Linked DNA regions of Callithrix jacchus. The protein of the gene in region 1 interacts with the protein of each later gene in a biochemical or structural test. Links are inferred from orthologs where the notes say so. Each region holds a gene or a part of one and is shown in the gene's direction. Other genes may lie near its edges.

What was found.
Region 2: the proteins of GLG1 (region 1) and SELE form a complex in vitro, tested with the Homo sapiens proteins (2 studies listed by BioGRID and IntAct). The link is inferred for Callithrix jacchus from reciprocal best matches to the Homo sapiens genes GLG1 and SELE.

What each region holds. Positions count from the first base shown.
Region 1 is NC_133521.1:31,777,928-31,781,745, reverse strand, and holds part of GLG1 (Golgi apparatus protein 1), read left to right. Parts: intron 1-1,839; coding exon 1,840-2,003; intron 2,004-3,115; coding exon 3,116-3,191; 3' UTR 3,192-3,818. UniProt on the Homo sapiens protein: Binds fibroblast growth factor and E-selectin (cell-adhesion lectin on endothelial cells mediating the binding of neutrophils).
Region 2 is NC_133519.1:32,780,118-32,783,935, forward strand, and holds part of SELE (E-selectin), read left to right. Parts: intron 1-339; coding exon 340-525; intron 526-1,312; coding exon 1,313-1,498; intron 1,499-1,611; coding exon 1,612-1,800; intron 1,801-2,739; coding exon 2,740-2,928; intron 2,929-3,048; coding exon 3,049-3,237; intron 3,238-3,449; coding exon 3,450-3,626; intron 3,627-3,818. UniProt on the Homo sapiens protein: Cell-surface glycoprotein having a role in immunoadhesion. Mediates in the adhesion of blood neutrophils in cytokine-activated endothelium through interaction with SELPLG/PSGL1. May have a role in capillary morphogenesis.

The sequences.
Region 1 (3,818 bases):
ATAGGGGCATGTGTACCTGGGGACCCTTTCAGTCCTGATTCTGCCATAGCAGGCTACCATTGAGGTCTGCTGGGGAAAGCAGTGGAAAACTGAGGGTGAAAACTAGCTGAGGTTAAAGTATAAATGTCCACAAGTAGAGGGCAATTAACTGTATTCTGTCAATATAAGTTACGTTTTTGGTGTAGTGGCATGAACATGGCTCACTGCAGCCTCAAACTCCTGGGGTCAAGTGATCCTTTTTGAGTAGCTGGGACCCAGGCCATGCCACCACACTCAGCTACTTTTTAAATTTTTTGTGGAGACGAGATCTTGTTTGTTGCCTAGGCAGGTCTCGGCCTGCACATTGTTTTTGTTGTGGGAAATGCTTATGATATAATGGTGAGTGAAAAAAAGTCAGAATACAGGCTGGTTATGGTGGCTCACACCTCTTATCCCAGCACTTTGGGAGACTGAGGCAGGAGGATCGCTTGAGCCCAGGAGTTTGAGACCAGCTTGGGCAACATAGGGAGACCACATCCCTACAGAATTTTTTTTTTTTTTTGAGATAGAGTTTCATTCTTGTTGCCCAGGCTGGAGTACAGTGGTACAATCTCAGTTCACTGCAACCTCCACTTCCCAGGTTCAAATGATTTCCCACCTCAGACTCCCGAGTAGCTGGGATTACAGGTGTGTGTCACTACACTTGGCTAATTTTTGTATTTTTAGTAGAGGTGGGGGTTTTACCATGTTGACCAGGCTGGTCTCAAACTCCTGACCTCAGGTGATCTGCCTCTGTGGCCTCCCAAAGTGCTGGGATTACAGGCGTAAGCCACCATGCCTGGCCAGAAAAAAAATTGTTTTAATTAGCTAGGCATGGTGGTGCACTTGTAGGCTGAAGTAGGAGGATCCCTTGAGCCCAGGAGTTTAAGGCTGCAGTGAGCTGTGATTACACCACTGTATGCCAACGTGGGCAATAGAGCAAGACCCCAACTCACTGAAAAAAAAAAGCCAAACTATAGAATTTACAAAACATAGAATATACAGAACAGTCTCATCTTTTCTCTTTGTTTTTTAAAGAAAGGCAGCAAACGAAGTTAAAGAACATAAATCAAAAGATAGAAGAACCCATGGCCTTATAGAAGTCATTTAACCACATTCATCCCTGGGCCAGTGACTCTCCATCCAGAGTACAGGAGTTGTGAAAACTGCCTGCTAGGCTTGGTGTGAGCACTAAATGAGTGAGGGCAGGGGGAGCCCTTTGTCCAGGGCCCAGCACATCTTCAGTGTTGTGATGTTAGTGGAGATCACTGTGATGGAATTGTGGGTGACCGCACTACTTTGTATCTTTCTGTATTTCTACTTTTGTGCAGTAAACATGTATATAGTTTTATGATCAGGAAAAAGTTGTAGCTTTGTGTTGATTTTTCTTTTTTTTTGAGACGAAGTCTCACTCTGTTGCCCAAGCTGAGTGCAGCAATGTGATCTTGGCTCACTGCAACTTCCACCTCTCGGGTTAAAGCAATTCTCCTGGCTCAGCCTCCTGAGTGGCTGGGACTACAGGCACACACCACCATGCCCAGCTAATTTTTTGTATTTTTAGTAGAGCTGGGGCTTCACTGTGTTGGCCAGACTGCTCTTGAACTCCTGACCTCGTGATCAGCCCGCCTCAGCCTCCCAAAGTGCTGGGATTACAGATGTGAGCCACTGCACCTGGCTGTGTTGATTTTTCTTATCTCCTGCCCTCCCACTCCAAAAGAAAAGACATAAATTAAACTAGGAACTAAGAGGGATAAGTTAGACCTCACATTGCCACTAGCCCAGTGCTCTTTGAGAGAATCACATTGCTCTGTGTCATTCTAGGTGGCCCCAGCAGATGGCTTCTCTGATCTTGCCATGCAAGTAATGACATCTCCATCTAAGAACTACATTCTCTCTGTGATCAGTGGGAGCATCTGTATATTGTTCCTGATTGGCTTGATGTGTGGACGGATCACCAAGCGAGTGACACGAGAGCTCAAGGACAGGTAGAGCCACCTTGACCACCAAAGGAACTACCTATCCAGTGCCCAGTTTGTACAGCCCTCCTGTATAGCATCCCCACTCACCTCGCTCTTCTCAGAGGTGACACCAACACCCGTGTTAGAGCGTCAGCAGGTATCCACTGCGTTGTCCCGTCCAGCCTCCACTCATGTCCATGGTGTCCTCCTCCTCCTCACCGTTCGTGCAGCAGCAGCAGCTGGCCGCTGGGGTTCCTGCCTTTGTTGGCAAACTTGGGTTTACCTGCCTGTAGACAAGTCTCTCTTGTACCAACAGAACTACTGGTACTTCCAGAAACAACTCACCTGACCTGCAACTCAAAGGCTTTTTTTAAGAAAACCACCAAAAAACAATTTTTTTAAAAGAGAAAAACGTATATAGTAACGCATCTCCTCCAGGCTTCATTTGGGCAATGGGGTTATTTCTTTCGTATGAATGTGTAAAACCAAGACAGAACTTAGAGGGGAAGCCCTCTAAGTTGGGTGGTGACCCAGTGTGCCATTACTGAGGTGTCTTGTTCCTCTCTCAGAAGCACCTTGAGGCCGAGCCAGGGCTATGGTGTTCACCAAGGAGTGGGTGGGCAGCCGCTCCCCAGGCTGTGTGGGGTCCTGCTTTCTTCTGCTGAGAAGGTGACGCTTTCCAGTTTCTACCCTCATCAGCCATTGCCAGCCACAGCTCCAAGACCATGGGTATTCTATGGTCTCCTCACCTCATTAAAGCAAAGCATGAGCCTCCCTAGACAAGGGCAGCTGGGGAGGGGAAGGGACCGGAAGTTTGTGAAGTTGGACAGTCCACGCGTCTGCACAGAGAGGCTGGATTCCAAGTCCCCGAGTCCCCGAGTCCCTGGGCAGCAGGATCCCAGGAACCTTCCTTCTCCAGGGCAGCACAGGACTCAGCTGCCTCTGGACCGACCCTGCTCAGGCTACAGTCACTCCGGAAGCTCTGTCCTTCACGCTCTAACACATTGCGCTGTGTCATTCTAGGTGGCCCCAGCAGATGGCTTGGACTGTGGCGGGAGGGGTCCTTGAAGACTGGTGTGGGGAGCAGCAGGGCAGGAAGCGGGAGCTTGGAGTTTGACTCACTTTGCTTTATTTTTCAGGCTACAATACCGGTCAGAGACAATGGCTTATAAAGGTTTAGTGTGGTCTCAGGATGTGACTGGTAGTCCAGCCTGACCTTTCTACACACTCCAGACAAACTTCCCAGACAAGCTCCTTTGTGCCTCCGTGTGGAGAGGGTGTGGAAAGTTATCACATTAAAAGATGGAGGATTTGCTCCGTTTTTTTTCTTTTTGTCCGTTTGCTGCCTGTACCCACTCTAGTAGGCATTGGCTAATGTTGTCTTTTGTTGATTCATCAACCTTTGCAGAATATGGGCTTCATAGAAGCAGTGTTCTTGGCATCATTCCTCCAGTGTGGAGATGCCAAGTCTGGGGTGTGAGGGAGGAGTCCAGGCATCGTGGTTCAGCCTGGCACACCTTTGGTTGAGTTCGGGGCATGAAATCACAGTGGCTGCACAAGAAAGCAGTGTGTACAGTAGGAGATATATTTATATAATATATATTTTATTAACCTGTTAGATGTCCACAAAGTATTATAAATCACGTGCCTAAAACTGTCCACGTAGACCAAGGCCCACCCTTGGCGCCCTCCCCTCCCTGCTTCTGCTCTGCAGGGTTGGCACACGCTGCAGGACCCGAGCGACACTCATCTTCCCCGAAGGGTGTTCAGTACAAAGTGTGTCAGTTTGTGGATGCATTGATCCAAGTTACTCCTTGTCTAACCTGACTGACGTATATTTGA
Region 2 (3,818 bases), on another chromosome or scaffold:
GTATTTTTGGCAGTTGTGAGAAAAGTAACCAGAAATTTGTTGTAGCACCTAAGTTTGCTGTTTTTGTTTATATAGTTTGACCAGTTTTGAGATAAACACAATCACACTACTCTCCCCTGAATATTTCTTTTTTTGTGGTTGTTGTTATGGGTTTTTGTTGTTGCTGTTGTGAATCAATATTTTCTTGACTAAAAGGGGTAGAACTACAGTCAATTTTACATATTCTATTAAAAATTTTATAAATTTTTAAACTGAAAAAACCCCTATAGTTGTAGTTTCCAATGTTCTTGACTGTGCAAGGTGAGAGATGAGCAGAGCTGATTTGGGTTTCTGTTTCAGTTGTGAACTGTCCAGCCCCGGAATCCCCTGAGCATGGAAGCCTGGTTTGCACTCACCCACTGGGAAACTTCAGCTACAATTCTTCCTGCTCTGTCAGCTGTGACAGGGGCTACCAGCCAAGCAGCATGGAGGCCACACAGTGTATGTCCTCTGGAGAATGGAGTGCTCCTATTCCAGCCTGCAATGGTAAATCCCTCTCAGAACACACAGAACATTCTCCAAGTCATCCCTTATTGCTTCTGTTTTTTAATCCAACTTATAACATTTTCAAAACTTCAGGAAAGTTCTTTTTTTTTTTTGTCTTTATTTTTAATAGAACTGATTCTCTTAACCAATGTATATGGCTAACCTAGTACCTGCCTGGGTTGAGAGAAGTTTTTATTCTACGTTTGGACTGCGTGTTTCTGGGGCTCTGGTAATTTGTAAAGGAGACCATAAAACAGTAAAGCTCTAGAACTCTCGGTGACTTCCTCATCTTGTTTCCCTGTTTAGCTTTTCTATGCTATGGGACTAACTTAAGACCGTGATCATCAAGCAGTCTCAGTATATCTTTTTGTCTTTCAATTGTATCTTTCTGAACCAGAGGCCAAAAAAGAAAAAAATCAGTTCTTCAGGTTCTGATAGGCTAAAATAAATGAATGGCCAAGGTATGTCAGTACTAGTCATAACTTCCAGTCAAAAATCTTTTTTTAAAAATTTTTACCTCATGTAAATAAGGTAAAATCTTATGTAAATGGTAACATAGGTTAGAGACCACTCAGCATAGGCAAAGTGAAAATTAATCAGAGAAGATAGAAATACCCATGAAAAAGAATAAAAGCTTTTATTCTGGCTGTGCATGTCCCTAAGAATTGACACAGGACTTTGGGATCTACCCTTTGGAGGCAGCTCCCTCACTTTGTTATACACCCACCCCAATAGGAAGTGAAAATATCATTCTGTAAAATTCACGGTGCTCTTATCAAATCCCCAGTGGTTGAGTGTGATGCTTTGACAAATCCTGCCAATGGGTTTGTAGACTGTTTCCCAAGTCCTGGAAGCTTCCCATGGAACACAACCTGTGCATTTGACTGTGAAGAAGGATTTGAACTAATGGGAGCCCAGAGCCTTCAGTGTACCTCATCTGGGAATTGGGACAATGAGAAGCCAAAGTGTAAAGGTAAAGATGCTCCACACGGAGACTTACTATTAACATTCTTTCTCCCAATACTGGAAATGGGTAAACTAATTCTATGCCCTACTATACTAATTCTTTGGGCACATTTGTTACAGCCGTGACATGCAGGGCTATCCCCGAGCCTCAGAATGGCTCTGTGACGTGCAGCCATTCCCCTGCTGGAGAGTTCACCTTCAACTCTTCCTGCAACTTCACCTGTGAGGAAGGCTTCATGTTGCAGGGTTCAGCCCAGGTTGAATGCAGCACTCAAGGGACGTGGACACCGCAAATCCCAGTTTGTGAAGGTAAGCTTGAGATCCTTTGATTTATACTTTCTTAAAGAGCAATCATCTTCAAACTTGGACAGTGAAAAAAACCCCAATACCCACTTTAACTATGGAAATCAGATTTGATGAGCAACACTCATATCTTTGAGATTCATTTAAAATAACTAGTTTGGCCAGGGAAAGGATCGTATGTATTAAGAATGAATGCTTTGCTGCTTTTCGAACTGTGATGTGCTAATATAACTTTACACACATTAGCATAGAGTAGACAGAATTCTTAGTCTGAAGGAATCATATTCAGAAAGCAGAATAATGAGAACATGATTTGAATCTAAAACTCTCATCACACCTTTCTTCTGAAATGGCTCACAATTAGCAGTGATGAGACCATTTCAAGCATGGTGTCAGTTACAGCAATAGTATTGATACATATATAAGCAGTACACGTCAATTCACTTTAACGTAAGAGCAAGGATATTGAAAATAAACAGTTTTTACCATCAGCCACTGCCTTTCTCCTAGCCAAAGCCAGCACAGAATGATTTTCAGTAGCAAAACATTATAACACAAAAACCAAACTGCAAAGCACACAAATTTTATTGGGGTGCTTTCTTCTCTTTCTTTCTTTTTGGCACCATCTATAAACATCCATGACCCATATGTTGTCCTCAGACTGTGTGAAATTGTTCCCTTGACCATAACTTCTTTTGCATGTTAGATAACAGTGCCCAGGAACTAATGTTCCTGTTAATTAGTCTTTTAATTAGTGCCATGATCAGTGAGGGGGTTGAAATTAAAAAAAAAAAACAACACCACACCCATCTTCCCATTTGTCCAGGAATTATAAAGACTCTTCAGTTACCCAAGAGTTGCTTGAATGAACAGGTTCACTCAACAAATGCCAAGTACTCTCTAGTTCCACTGCAGTATTTTCTGACCATCATTTTGATGTCTCAGCTTTCCAGTGCACAGTCTTGTCCAGCCCTGAGCGAGGCCACATGAATTGTCTTCCTAGTGCTTCTGGCAGCTTCCAGAATGGGTCCAGCTGTGAGTTCTCCTGTGAGCAGGGATTTGTGTTGAAGGGCTCCAAAAGGCTCCAGTGTGGCCCCACAGGGGAGTGGGACAACGAGAAGCCCACATGTGAAGGTATGGTGTTTGTTTTTATTTTATTTTAAGATAAACACGATTGAAGAGCTTAGGAACTTGGTTATCTTGGGAAACCAGAGATGCAAATAAACTTCTAAAGTGCTCTCTCATGTGTTCCAGCTGTGAGATGTGATGCTGTTCGCCAGCTCCCGAGGGGTGTGGTGCAGTGTGCTCATTCCCCCATTGGAGAATTCACCTACAAGTCCTCTTGTGCCTTCAGCTGTGAGGAGGGATTTGAATTACATGGATCAACTCGACTTGAGTGTACATCTCAGGGACAGTGGACACAAGAGGTTCCTTCCTGCCAAGGTAGAATTGAGTGCAGACTTTTTTAGGGTACAGGTCAAATACCTCATAAGTTTCTGAACCTAGGTTGCCCCAAGGGGGTTTGATCCTAATTTCCTACATGCCAAAAACTAAGTAGTGCTTATACATTATACTTATTGTTGACTTTTAAGTGAGTTTTAGAAGTTTTCCAGTAGATTTTTCTGAAACTCTACCTGTGTACCTAACATTTGCAGTGGTGAAATGTTCAAGCCTGGCAGTTCCGGGAAAGATCAACATGAGCTGCAGTGGGGAGCCTGTGTTTGGCACTGTGTGCAAGTTCGCATGTCCTGAAGGATGGATGCTCAATGGCTCAGCAGCGCTGACATGTGGTGCCACAGGACACTGGTCTGGGTTGCTGCCTATCTGTGAAGGTGATGCATTGATTGATGGTGGTTGTCTGGGGGATTAAAGAGAAAAGGGGCCGGGCGTGGTGGCTCACGCCTGTAATCCCAGCACTTTGGGAGGCCGAGGCGGGTGAATCACGAGATCAAGAGATCGAGACCATCCTGGTCAACATGGTGAAACCCCGTCTCTACTAAAAATATAAAAAATTAGCTGGGCAT